3 linked regions of the Saccharomyces cerevisiae S288C genome follow. The gene in region 2 interacts genetically with the main gene of each other region. Each region holds a gene or a part of one and is shown on either strand. Other genes may lie near its edges.

Evidence for each region. A genetic interaction does not mean that the proteins touch.
Region 1: mutations in ENV9 (region 2) and SND2 together harm fitness more than expected from each alone (negative genetic interaction), as found in Saccharomyces cerevisiae (2 studies listed by BioGRID).
Region 3: mutations in ENV9 (region 2) and YKU80 together harm fitness more than expected from each alone (negative genetic interaction), as found in Saccharomyces cerevisiae (2 studies listed by BioGRID).

The regions. Positions count from the first base shown.
Region 1 is NC_001144.5:264,963-268,970, forward strand, and holds SND2 (Snd2p), read right to left. Parts: upstream 1,957-4,008; coding exon 1,411-1,956; downstream 1-1,410. Other genes in the region: BMT6 (25S rRNA (uracil2843-N3)-methyltransferase), read left to right, coding at 1-292; PER33 (Per33p), read left to right, coding at 494-1,315; signal peptidase complex subunit SPC3, read left to right, coding at 2,207-2,761; PET309 (Pet309p), read right to left, coding at 2,851-4,008. UniProt on the Saccharomyces cerevisiae protein: Functions in the SND pathway, a SRP (signal recognition particle) and GET (guided entry of tail-anchored proteins) independent pathway for targeting a broad range of substrate proteins to the endoplasmic reticulum.
Region 2 is NC_001147.6:794,421-798,449, forward strand, and holds ENV9 (Env9p), read right to left. Parts: upstream 2,374-4,029; coding exon 1,381-2,373; downstream 1-1,380. Other genes in the region: DGA1 (diacylglycerol O-acyltransferase), read right to left, coding at 1-912; SRL1 (Srl1p), read left to right, coding at 3,256-3,888.
Region 3 is NC_001145.3:476,891-482,078, forward strand, and holds YKU80 (ATP-dependent DNA helicase YKU80), read right to left. Parts: upstream 3,301-5,188; coding exon 1,411-3,300; downstream 1-1,410. Other genes in the region: phosphoglucomutase PGM2, read right to left, coding at 1-716; YMR105W-A (uncharacterized protein), read left to right, coding at 1,174-1,368; YMR106W-A (uncharacterized protein), read left to right, coding at 4,034-4,297. UniProt on the Saccharomyces cerevisiae protein: Single-stranded DNA-dependent ATP-dependent helicase. Involved in non-homologous end joining (NHEJ) DNA double strand break repair. DNA-binding is sequence-independent but has a high affinity to nicks in double-stranded DNA and to the ends of duplex DNA.

The DNA of each region.
Region 1 (4,008 bases), on a different chromosome or scaffold from region 2:
GAGTATAAAATTTCTGCAACGGTTAAACGAGAACTGTGCCCCAGGCTGCCATCTTCTCATACTAGAGAGTGCAGGAAGCTATTCTCACATTACCATCAACAACAAGAAGTTCCCAATCCAATTTCTTATCGATACTATCTTAGTAGGCAATAGAAAGGACAAGGGAACGACAGGTCCATGGTCACTAGTATCCGAGAACGACAGTATTTGGTATAGAATGGACCCAAAACTCGACTACTCGATTCCATTGGAAAACATGCGATTCTTTTACCGTCTTTATGTCAAGAACTAACAGGCTTTATGACGTTTTACTGTTCTCTTTTCATTGTTCTTTTCTCGAAGAGTTTAGAAAAATTTTTTTTCTTCTCATCCACACCGAAAAAATATTAATAAGAGAGTTGAAAATTCGATTTGGAATCAGAAATAAAGAAGGGGCCACGATCAAACAAGACTCATTTCGAATAATTGTAAAAAAAAATTAGCACAAAACAATATGACCGTTCCCAGGAATCGTCCCATGGCACCATTTGGCACCATTATCAAATCAAGAATAAAACAACCCCAGTTTTATTGGTTTATAGGCCATTTTTTAACCATCTTTAACTTTATACAATTTCATCTTTCAATCACGTCCAAACAAAACCAATTGTCATGCTATAGAAGATCATTATTTTACATATCCGTTACATATGCCATCGTTCTTTACCAGTTTTTCAAAAGTGACCAGTTAAAGTTCAATTTTACGCTTTTGCGCCAAGAGATGAAGAAATTGGATAATTTGCAGTATTTTGCCATGCTATTCATACTTTTTCTCTTATCACAGTTTAACATCATAATCAGCGGCTCGTTATACAGTCCCGTTATCTTTTCAATCTTTCACTTCCTGAACTATTTTAAGGAAAACCTTTTGCCATTTTTGCCTTTGATACCACTTAATTTGAAAAATTTGTTGAACTCCAAAATAACGGTATTCATCCAAAACTACAATGGATTTTTCTTACAGATGGCGCAAGTATTTGAGATTATCTGCGGCCTACGTGTGGGCCTCTTCTTAGTGCCCTTCAATTTTTTCTTGTTGTTGGTAAGAAGAGCAAACGTGTCGTTTGAGGTAGTGGGTACAATGTTGGCAGGACTAACCTATGTATGGTTTTTCAAATTAAGGTACCTACAAAGTGAATCTATGAGGCAGATATTTAAACAATATGTCCTTAGGTTGGATGCATATGTCAGCCGTACTTTGCCCCCATATTGTTCCCGTTTATGGAACGGCTATAAGAATTTCGTTATGACAGTGTTTTGGAAGATACCTGTGTAGCATGCTCATTTTAAGTATATCTAAATATTATTTTGTATATACTCACACTCCTCTATAGAAAGCAAAAAATTTCAAAAACGTTTGAAAAGCTTTGTTTAACGATACTTGTACTTAATTTTAGAGTCAGTTTCACCCCTCCTCTCCCTTTTCATCTGCCTTTTGGATTTGGATTGTCCCTCATTAGCATTTTTTGAGCGATTATCTGCCTGAGTTTGTTGAGCGCCAGGCATGAACATGTTTTTGAGGCCATATAACTTGTAACCAGCATAGATGGGGCACAATAGTAGACACCACCAAAATTTGAATGTCCTGAAAGCTATAATACCAATGTTACCAAAAAGTGATAGATATATCAAATCAAAAAAATATGATATCAAATTTGTATTGTCGTTCAAGTCTATACCTTGTTTTACTACGCGATTGCCATCATATTTGGGCTTACCGGATAGCACAATGATATACAGAGCAACGAACATAGGAACGTTCAAAGCCACCAGCTTAATCCATTGGCCAATTGTAACCTTACGTGAAATGAATAGACGTACGATAGCCATTCCTAAAAACAAAGAGACTTGCTTGTATAAGCCCTGAATTATTTTTGCATTTGAACTAGCCTGTTTCCTCCCTGCTTTGCCAGCCATTCTACCAACACAAACTTAGACCACTGCCTTTGGTGTCTTCTTGAAGCCACACGTGAATACTACCTTTTTTTCATCTATTATCTTTTTTTAATTACGTTGAAATTTTTCATTTCAAAGGCGCAGAACGAAGGTCGACTAATTTCATGACAGTCGGTAGACGTGGAGAAAAAAGTTGATTGTTAAGCCTATTAAGTTCCACTGAGACAAAGACCCACAAAGCTAGCTAGCATTGCCGCACTTCTCCAGAACAATGTTCTCCTTTGTCCAAAGATTCCAGAATGTATCGAACCAGGCCTTTTCAATGGGAATTGTAATGGTTGTATTCATCATGGCATCCTCATACTATCAATTAATCAATAATAACGCGTTCTCAGTACCTAGTAATATCGATAACGTCAAAACTTTAATAAATGTTAGAACAAGTAGATATTTTGGCTCACAGAGAGGCAAGGCAAAGGAAAATATGAAAATTAAATTTGATCTAAATACAGATCTCACTCCCCTATTCAATTGGAATACAAAGCAAGTTTTTGTCTATCTAACTGCTGAGTATAACAGTACTGAAAAAATAACAAGTGAGGTAACATTTTGGGATAAGATCATAAAAAGCAAGGATGATGCTGTGATTGATGTGAACGATCTAAGATCCAAGTATTCTATCTGGGATATTGAAGATGGAAAATTCGAAGGCAAGGATTTGGTTTTCAAGTTACACTGGAATGTTCAACCATGGGTAGGTTTGCTAACTTACGGTGAAACTGTAGGCAACTATACACTGACCGTGGAAAATAAAAACAAAGTTTAGACTAGTCTTTGCTCTCTCAATTTTTGTTAATTATTTACATGATTTTTTGATATATATGCAGTTGATTATACAATATGATATATGCATTTCTAGAATTTACTCACAGGTAATACTCTCTTAGATTTCCTCAGTTCTTTAAAATATGAAAGATGTCTCATTTCAATCTGTTCCCATTTATTGATCTTGCTTCTTGGCATTAATAAGTAATCTTTCATAAAATACTTGTAATTTGATATGAAGTCACGTACCTGATCTTCTAAAGTTTTTAAATCATCAATACCGTCCAAATATGTGTCTAACTGCCTCATTATACTGTTATATGTATCGCTTTTTAAGTATAGTCTGGGCTGAAATTTATTGGGCTCTTTTTCCTTCATTTTTAATGTTGGCCAAGATTTATCACTGGACTGCGTCTTATCCTCGGATAGTTTCGTTAATAGTCTAAATTTATGGATCAAATTATACCCATGAATTAGTGTGTCATCAACGATTTTCATACCATACGAAAGGGTTCTTGGATCCTTAAATAACGCTTCTACAGCGCTGTTCCACGATATATTATCTAAAATAAAACCTTTTTCTCGCAATTTCTTCCACAGTAATGGCAGCTCATCGATTTTATTCATTGCAATCAACTGACTTACTTTATAAGGGAACAATCCGCTGAATATGCTTCTTAGTTTAATATTTGGCGTTGTAGATGATGGCAAGTTTTCAATGTTTTCAATACGATCCATGTATTTAGCGAAAAGTGTTTCGAAATCTTTCCATTGTTCAATTTGAGCTAGTAATACCAACAATGATCTCATCATCACAAATTTATTATTATTTGATATCCAATCATGCTTTTTGAAGAAAAGCTCATTGTACCGGTTGTATAACTCTAAAGCCCGCTGTGGGCTATCATGTTTCACAATCATTCTCATTGGCCATGCCATGACCGAGGGATGCAGTTTGTTATACGTAACGTCGAGAGTTCCATTGGCAGCATTTTCCATGATGTCTTCTACCATATTAATCGTTTCCTTGATTTCCTCATTATTTTGTAGGCTTTTTTTGGCAACGGCCTTCAATATATAATATAAAATTTTGGAATTCGCTGGTACCTTATTCTGTGACATTGTCTTGTACAAGTTAATTATACCGTCACGATAACCCTCTTTGTCATATGCCTCCATTATTATTTCAAAATGTGTAGCGTCCACCTTGATTACAGAATGTTTTATTAGTTGATCTATGATGCTCAA
Region 2 (4,029 bases):
CACTAGGTTAATATTCCCCGTTTGAATGGCCAGTTTAATAAAACCCTTTCTTTTGTTTAAAATCAGTTGTGTACCATTTGTTGAACTTAATAAAGATTCCCTAGCGCCACCAACAACAATGCAGATCGACTGATTTTTGCTTAGAGTCCTTAAAGCGTTTTTCCGAGATACTGAAGAAATACCTAACGCCAATAAGTAGTCTCTATACAATGGGATATGAAATTGTGTGACCAGTGTCATCAGAGAAATAGGAATACCTGGGAAAATCTTGGAATAGTTACAACCTTCTGTTGCAAACGCTCCAAACGCACCAAGTGCTCCTATGCCGTGTGGATGGTAACCAAATAAGTACGTTGGCCCTGTACATTCCTGGTTGCGATAGTCAATAGTAGAGTTGCTTTTGAGATTAATGGAATACTTAGTTGGCCACAATCTAATCTTGTAATTTTTTTCGTTAACTCTCTTATTTTTTGAAAGCGTAAAAGTTGGTTTTAAATTGACAGTTTTAATCAAACTTATAGGGAAATAATCACAATACCACTTCCAAATGGGCAATGAACGAAATCGAAGAGAGTATCGATTTACCACTTCGCCAGTTGCAGGAGACCTATCGAAAAAAAAATAAATCATATATGGAATAGCAAGAACCCACAGTGCTGGTGTCGAGATTGCAAATAACGTAAATATGGAGAAGAGTACAAATGAAGAAGTGTGCCATGCTACAGCCAGAGTTTGTAACCTTCTTTCAAAAGGGGTCGCCAATGGACAGCATGACTCTAGTTGTGGTTTGAGAGTCTGTTCTCTTTTATCGATGCTTGACAAAGACTTATTCTCATGCCTTTCGGTAATACCGGCTGTAGGGCTTCCTTCTTCCTTCTTCCTTCTTCTTATATCATTGAATGTTCCTGACATTTATGTGACTGTTCAAACTGTATGCCTCTGCGTTTCCTTATGTATATGTAAGTGTATGTGTAAATGGAAATGAGATGATAGTAAACCTCCTTAATGGAACAAACGTGATCTGGGATAAACAGGAAAAAAAAAAAACTTTGGCGGAAGTGTAGTGAAAGATCCAAGCCTGATAGACCACTGTCGTGCTTGGTTAAGTACAGAAATGCGGTGGAAGTACTGGTCTGCTTTGAGGAATAAGTTTCCAAATTCAGTCTTCTCTTTTTCTAGCCTTCCCATTACGTCAATGCTGACTGAATCTATCAATTGAATAAAAAACGCACATCATAAGCCTTTGTCGGCCCGTAACTTAGTTGCCTGCAGAGAACAAAGTACAGAAAAACTTCTTGCTCTGATTACCAGTTACAATAACGACTAACTAATATTTAAATAAAATGTACATCTATCTACTCTTTCAATCTTTCCGTCTTGTTATATATCGAAACCACGGTCTCTTAGTTGATGAACGGTCCAGATCCAAGTCGATGCCGCTTCGTCGACATTGTTAGAAACGTAGCTCGATTTAGATTCTTTACCCCCCGTGGTGAAGTACTTCCCGTTATCTTTTTCGACAGATAAATTCGGGTCCAATGCACACTTCAAAGAAGCTAGTGAACCTTGTTCGTTCGATACGCCGAAAAAGAACCCTACGACCTGGAACAACAGCCAAAAGAAAATACCGACGATGGGTAACCTTGTCCAATAACTGAATAAGTTTGTGTTCATCACCAGACCCGGATGAACGGAGAGACAAAGAACGTCAGGGTATTTGATGGCCAACATCTTCGTGCATTGGATTAGCGCGGTTTTACTCATCGCGTACCTAAACCATGTGAAAAGCATATTAGGTTTGTAATCCCACGTCTTGCTCAGTTTCCAGTACATGAACTCTAGATGATGGCCTATCGAGGACAGGGAAATGATCCTGCCACGACAATGGCGCAGTAAAGGCAATAATCTCATCGTGAAGATGAAGTGCGAAATGTAGTTAGTCTGCAATTGCACTTCAAATCCGTCCTTCGTCATTTCTAAGGGCACCGCCATAATCCCTGCATTGTTAACAAGCACGTCTATGTGGTCTTCCAGCTTGAGAATTTTAAGTGCCGCTCTCTCCACACATTTTAAGTCTGTCAAATCCAAATGGATATAGTGCAGTGACCCTAGACGCTGAATGCTTGGACCTGGGCCCGCGCCTGGGCTTGAACCGTCGTCATCTTCATGGCACCTCTTCTTTGCTTCTGCCAGTATCTCCTGGATTGCTTTCGAAATCTTGTGAGAGTTTCTCCCACAAATATAAACGACAAACCCATGCAAATACAAATGCAAGACAGTATACCACCCAATACCCGTATTTCCGCCTGTTACTACAGCAATCTTCCTCTCCACAGCCGGGTCGTAGTATGGCAATATTCGTGGGTCTAACATTCTGCCTTTGGCGTATGTCTCGTACTGCGGATGCCTCTAATACCAATCAGGCCTACAACCATTGTCTTCCCCGTTTCTACAAAGACAATAGTGTGTGTGCATTGTAAGTGATGCATCATGCACCATAATGATTTGTTTATATATACCCATGTACACTTGGGTCTCATTTCCTCAATTTTTTCATATCTTACCCGCATATCTTTTCTTTCAATGCCCTACTTCTATACTTCAGGGTTTTCCAAAAAAAAACAGTGATTAAGCAGGGCGGCATTTTCTTTATCTTGGGGCTTAGAAGACGCGAAAGACCTGTGGCTCAATACCTTTTTCGGAATATGTCAACAACACGAAACGCCAAAATTCTTGGCCCTGATTCAGGTACCGCGGGGGCCACGAATTTTGGCGTTCTGTGCAGGAATGACGTCTCTGCCGATTATGAAACTAAACAAGGTATGCTATCGGAGGTGGTCTGAGTTACTCGACAGATTTTTCTGACGAGAGTGAGTGTCGTTCGAGATATTTAAGCTCCAAAATATTTCCCTCACCTAGCTTACATTTTGGTTTATTCTTTCTTACCTCTACCTTTCTAAGTTTTTCTCTTCTGCTTCCTTTTCTTTTCACTTGGCATATTTTATCTATAAAAAAGTTTTGCAAGCGTTTAAGCAACTAGTTTAGCACAACATCCAACCAAGAGGTTTCTCGCGTATTTCTCTCATTTTTTTACCCATTTTACAAATTTTTTTTGCTATTTGAGCCATAGTACCCATTAATAGGTCTCGTCCATTCCCTTGTTTTTTTTTTATTGTTTCAATTACACTACATAATTAAAAATCACATCACTTTCACTCTCACCTTAGTCGTTCTTTATCAACCAAAAATAAAAAAATGCTTCAATCCGTTGTCTTTTTCGCTCTTTTAACCTTCGCAAGTTCTGTGTCAGCGATTTATTCAAACAATACTGTTTCTACAACTACCACTTTAGCGCCCAGCTACTCCTTGGTGCCCCAAGAGACTACCATATCGTACGCCGACGACACCACTACCTTTTTTGTCACCTCAACGGTCTACTCCACGAGCTGGTTCACCTCAACTTCAGCCACCATTACCAATGCGGCCTCCTCCTCCTTGTCCACCTCTTCGGCCTCTGGATCTGTAACCCCAGAATCCACCCATGAAATTACCTCCACCTCGACTATCACGTCCACTTTGCTGCTAACCCTTCATGACTCCACTACTTTGTCTCCATCATCTACTGCAGCAAGTGTCAGTGACGAAGATTCAAACAACAAAGATGCAAAGGTCAAGTCCTTTGAACAGGCTTCAACTTCCAATGGTTGCGTCCCAATCACAAAGTTTGTCACTGTCACCAATGAGCCCGTTACCCAGTACGTTACAGTCACCCCAAATACGACTACACAATACGTTACTGTCACCGGTGCACCTTCTGTTACCACTACCTCTCCAGGTAACGTACAATGGTACAACACCACTTCGATTACTAATTCGACCAGTTGGTGAATTATGAGTTCAAACGTGTCCTTTTAAGTTCTTTTTGTTTCTTTTTTGTATCTGTATTGACAATTTCACCTTCTGTAACTCTATCCTTCTGCTACCTAAATACATCAGTTTAAGTTCCAACTGGTATTTATTTTTCACTAT
Region 3 (5,188 bases), on a different chromosome or scaffold from region 2:
ACGAAAATAGCCTTACCGTATGGTCCAGTTACACCGTTCATACTGTCAAACAGTAACTTCCAATTCTTAGTAGAACGTTGATTATCGATGAATTTCTTGATTAAGTCGAAATCGAAGATTTCCTTCAAGAAGTTGACATAATCTTTTGTAATATCGATAATGTCAACGAGTAATGGACCGTATTTCTTGTTCTTGCCTATCGTACCCAAGTCTAGTTCTGGGAAGTCTTTGATAATCTTATAGCTGGTAAGCTTTTTGGAAATCTCCCAAATAGCATTTGTGACGGATTCAGGAGCAGGACCCCCATTGGATAAGTTATACTTAATACCCATGTCATTTTCTGGACCACCTGGATTATGTGAGGCGGTTAAGATAATACCACCAGTACATTTTTCCTCGTAGGTTCTCATGATGTGAGAAGCGGCTGGCGTAGACAGAAGACCATGCTGGCCAATAACTAACTTTTTAATACCGTTGGCAGCACCGATAGCGGCAATCTTATGAAGAATGACATCATTGTAGTAACGCCCATCACCACCGACAACAAGAGTGGCACCTTTAGAACCCTCTGGAATAGCTTCCATGATCGATTGAATGAAATTTTCTGTGTAGTTAGGTTCGTCTTTAAACACCTTTGTCTTCTTACGCAAACCAGAGGTACCAGGCTTTTGGTCTTCATATGGTTTGGTGGGAACCGTTTCAATTTGAAATGACATGTTATGTTAACTTTTGTTACTTTTTTTACTGAGAAAGATTGGTTGATCTTCTTCTTATTATCCTATTGTTCAAGCAACGCTGAAGAAAGACATGGAACACTATCTTCGAAAATGAAACAATATTAACGGTACCTTTTTATATTTCCCACATTGTTCGGGCGGCAGTCATCCAGATTCTGAAAGAATCAACTATTTCTTTTACACTTTTCAACCCCTGTTTGTTCCTGGAACTGCACATAACAAAAGTATAACGTCCCCTTTCACGTAAGTTCCCCACGAAAAAAGTAGTGCGCGACACCACCCCTTTTCGTGAGCTCCGCGCTTCTCTTCACCGAGCCTAAGTTGGGCCTCTCCCCCCTAGAAAGAACAAGTTGGCCCTGTTGTCCTTAGCTCGCAAGCTCAGGGGCAGCAGCGTGTGTTGAGATTAGAGAACCGCTCGACCTCAACGGATGATAGTATGATTTTAGTACATACAGGGAACGTCCTCTACCCACGTTTTATTGTTGTTGCATTTACTTTTGAACAGCGACAGGGGGGAAGGTGTAAAGGAGGAAAAGCAACCTGCATGGCTAGTGTTCAAAGTTACAAGGTAACAATGCAAATCAGTAGTATGACAATTATTTACCCGCTATTTATTTTTTTTTCTCTTTAACTGTGGTGACGAAAACATAACTCAAAGGATGTTAGACCTTTTTTAATTATTGCTATTGTTTGGACTTCCCCTACTGTGTTGTTCACCGCGCTTCAATAGCGTTTCTAGGTCCGGGATCTTTTCCCTCTCAAGCTCAGTTTTTAGTTCGGAGTCGAGTTTTAATTTGTCTACTTTCTTGATGCCGAGCACTTCAACCAATTTTGTGCTATCAAATTTCTTGTGCGTGTAAGGACTTATTTTGTTTTTCAATGAGTCAGGAAGCTCTGGGATTTCAAATTCCCTGGAATCATTGATCATCAGTTGGTGAATCCATTCCAGTAGCACCTGTTGTTGCCTGTAGACAAAAACCGTGGGTATTCTAAGAGGATCCTTTTTGTTTTCCTCTTGGTCTTTATTTAAAGAGGGAAGTGGGAGAGTGGTGTCTGTTGTTACTTCGCCTATGGGTTGATAGTAGTTGCCTAACGGAATCTCTGGTAGCTCATCTGTATCCATTGAATCTACAAATTGTTCCATAAGCTCATCGATTTGATGCCCGTCTGTTTCCTTTTTCAGCGGTACCCCGGATGTAGTTGTTCGATCCAGAAGTTTTGGAAAATCAGTTACCCTCTCGTCTTCCGCGAATGGTAATCTACACAAGGTAAGGCTCTTAACAAACTTCTTCTCGGAATTAATGTTACTGTGCTCAATTAGAACGGGACACAATGCACACATATTCACTTCACTGTCTTTCTTGCTCACATATCTTGCAACAGCAATTTTTCTATTTTCTAGCATAACATCCACTAGAGCACTGAAAGCCATTAAGTCAGATTGACAGCCAAGTCTTGTGTCGGCGGTAATGAAGGAGGATTCCGACGTCAAAAAGTACCTTGGAAGAGCTTCTCTATTCAAAAATCCTCTTAAATCCAAGCCTGGAAAAGATTCATATACAGTTTGATCGACTAGAACGGACGGTAGCACTACGTAGTCTGCACCATAACGGTATGCCTTCGTTACAGAGTCTTTGGAGATGGTCACGGGAATGTATGACGATCCAGACTGGTCATCTTCACTGACATTTTTCTTATTTCCTTCGTTGTGAATTTCATATTCGATTATGGATTTGACCCCCACATACCTTTCTTTCTTCTGGGAGTCTTCCACCTCAACAGCGGTTTTCCTATTTAAGCCTGAAACTGCTTTCGTAGCAGGAAAAGCCTCTACCTTGATACATAAGCAATTTTCATCTTGCATGCTGCCGCTAGGATTCGATGTTTGTGTTGATAATATATCTGCCCCTAACCTAAGCTCGCCTGAGAATACTCTTACTGGCTTAACGACAGATGTTGCTGGGGAAGTGATTTCAACAAGAAGTTCATTCATATTGTAGATTCTTGAATTCGGTATCGCTTCGACCAACTTTAACCAGTTCGATTTTTTCCTCTCCTCTTGAGTGTCTTTACCGCAATCAATCAAAATGATTCTTGTGCTTAATTCTTCCGTTAGCAGGTCTATTTCTTCATCAGTAATATCCAGATCATCTAAATTGTCTGTAAATACAACAATTTGTTTTAGAATTTTTCTTGCTTGAAATTGTTGTTTAATATCTAATGAGACGACCAACAGACATTGAATCATTGATTGTAAGCCTTCATTCGAACTATCATGACTGTGCTGATCACAATATTGTTTCAGGCGTTTTATAAACCCAATGGTGGCCGTCGTGGTAACAGGAGCCAAAAAGGATTGTATTTGGAACACATTTGGTATTTCCTGGGAATTCTCAGATACGGGACAATTAGCGAGATAACAGCTTATCCAATCTGTTTTTCTACTTTTTTTAGATTTGTTTAATAGAGTGTACTCTAGATATGCCATAGATTTGGAAACATTATTATTTTTCATCATTGATGGTGAAACATCCACGATGAAAGTTGTTGACTCACTTGACATTATTATGGTGTGAGATATATTATTTGTGCATATGTCCTGCACTCTCGTTAATTAGGTTTTCTTCTCTTGATGATGCCCTTTTTTTTTATTCATTTTTTTGCATGACAACAAATGCCCTGACGGACATGCGGTAATCTAGTTGAAAAAATAGTCAAATTGTGTCGACACTGTAAAAAGGTACTTCCGCTAATAGACTACAAACATTACTCCAAGACCAGAAACAGAAATACGTTACAATAGTGTTGTCGAATCCTGGCAATGGTAAATTGTTTTTAACGCCCTCCAACTGCTAATCTTTGGTTGACGGTACATTCATCTATTATAAGAACTAAATATATAGATTAACTAGAAAAGGCCAGATGTCTTAAGTGTATATATTTTGAATGAGAATTATGTATGCAGCATATTTACTTGAATCTTCAAAAAAAGAAGCCCTGTAGGGGGCTCGAACCCCTAACCTTATGATTAAGAGTCATACGCGCTACCGATTGCGCCAACAAGGCTACTTATTGTTATTTACCGTCAGCTTGTATTCTTATATGTTGAGCTGGTTTTTTATCTCAGCTTTTACTTTCTCAAAGTTAATAAAACTATTCTTCTAGAACTTTTTTTCTGGATTTCGGTTGCTGAACTAGTTCAACAAAAATATTTATTTTAAAATTAAACTGGTTCAAGGTCTCATAGTCGATCATTTCCAATCAATCAAAGCAACCCACAAATCCTAGGCTGAATCATGATATCGATGGAAGCAATCAACAATTTTATCAAGACCGCACCAAAGCACGACTATCTGACAGGCGGAGTTCATCATTCTGGTAATGTAGACGTGTTACAATTAAGCGGCAATAAAGAAGATGGTAGTTTAGTATGGAACCATACTTTTGTTGATGTAGACAACAATGTGGTAGCTAAGTTTGAAGACGCTCTCGAAAAACTTGAAAGTTTGCACCGGCGCTCATCCTCATCCACAGGCAATGAAGAACACGCTAACGTTTAACCGAGGGGAGTCACTTCATAATGATGTGAGAAATAAGTGAATATTGTAATAATTGTTGGGACTCCATTGTCAACAAAAGCTATAATGTAGGTATACAGTATATACTAGAAGTTCTCCTCGAGGATCTTGGAATCCACAAAAGGGAGTCGATAAATCTATATAATAAAAATTACTTTATCTTCTTTCGTTTTATACGTTGTCGTTTATTATCCTATTACGTTATCAATCTTCGCATTTCAGCTTTCATTAGATTTGATGACTGTTTCTCAAACTTTATGTCATTTTCTTACACCGCATATGATTATATACTAGAAACATGAATACTACTAAATAGATGATAAATGGAGTTTCATTGCAATGGTGATAATGATTGTGATTTTATTTGTTGGAATAACAATCAACTATCATCCATTCACTGGTATCAATATTACTGGTATATTATCTTATATGGTGTAGGAAGATGGCATAATATTGAGAAACGGCTATCGGATGTGGTAAAAGCTAAAATGCGAAGATTGATAATGTAACAGGATAGTGAACGACAACGCATAAAATGGAAAAAGAGGTAATATCGTTATTATGTAAAATTATTTGTGTCCTTTGTGGACTCTAAGATCCTTGGAAATTTAAATGACCGGAGAATGAGGTCGCTATAATAGTTTCTATACTCATGGAAAATGCAACCGATAAACCATTATAAATCTTCGCGGTTATCTGGCATTGTTATTAACCAAAAAAATGCCGGCCTATTACAAGCTACTGTTCAATAAATATTGTTGTAATGAAGACGGTCCAACTGTACAAATACAGCAAACTGTCATATATAAGGAGTCTTATGTGACAGCACTTGCGTTATTGTCAGCCGGAGTATGTCTTTGTCGCATTCTGGGC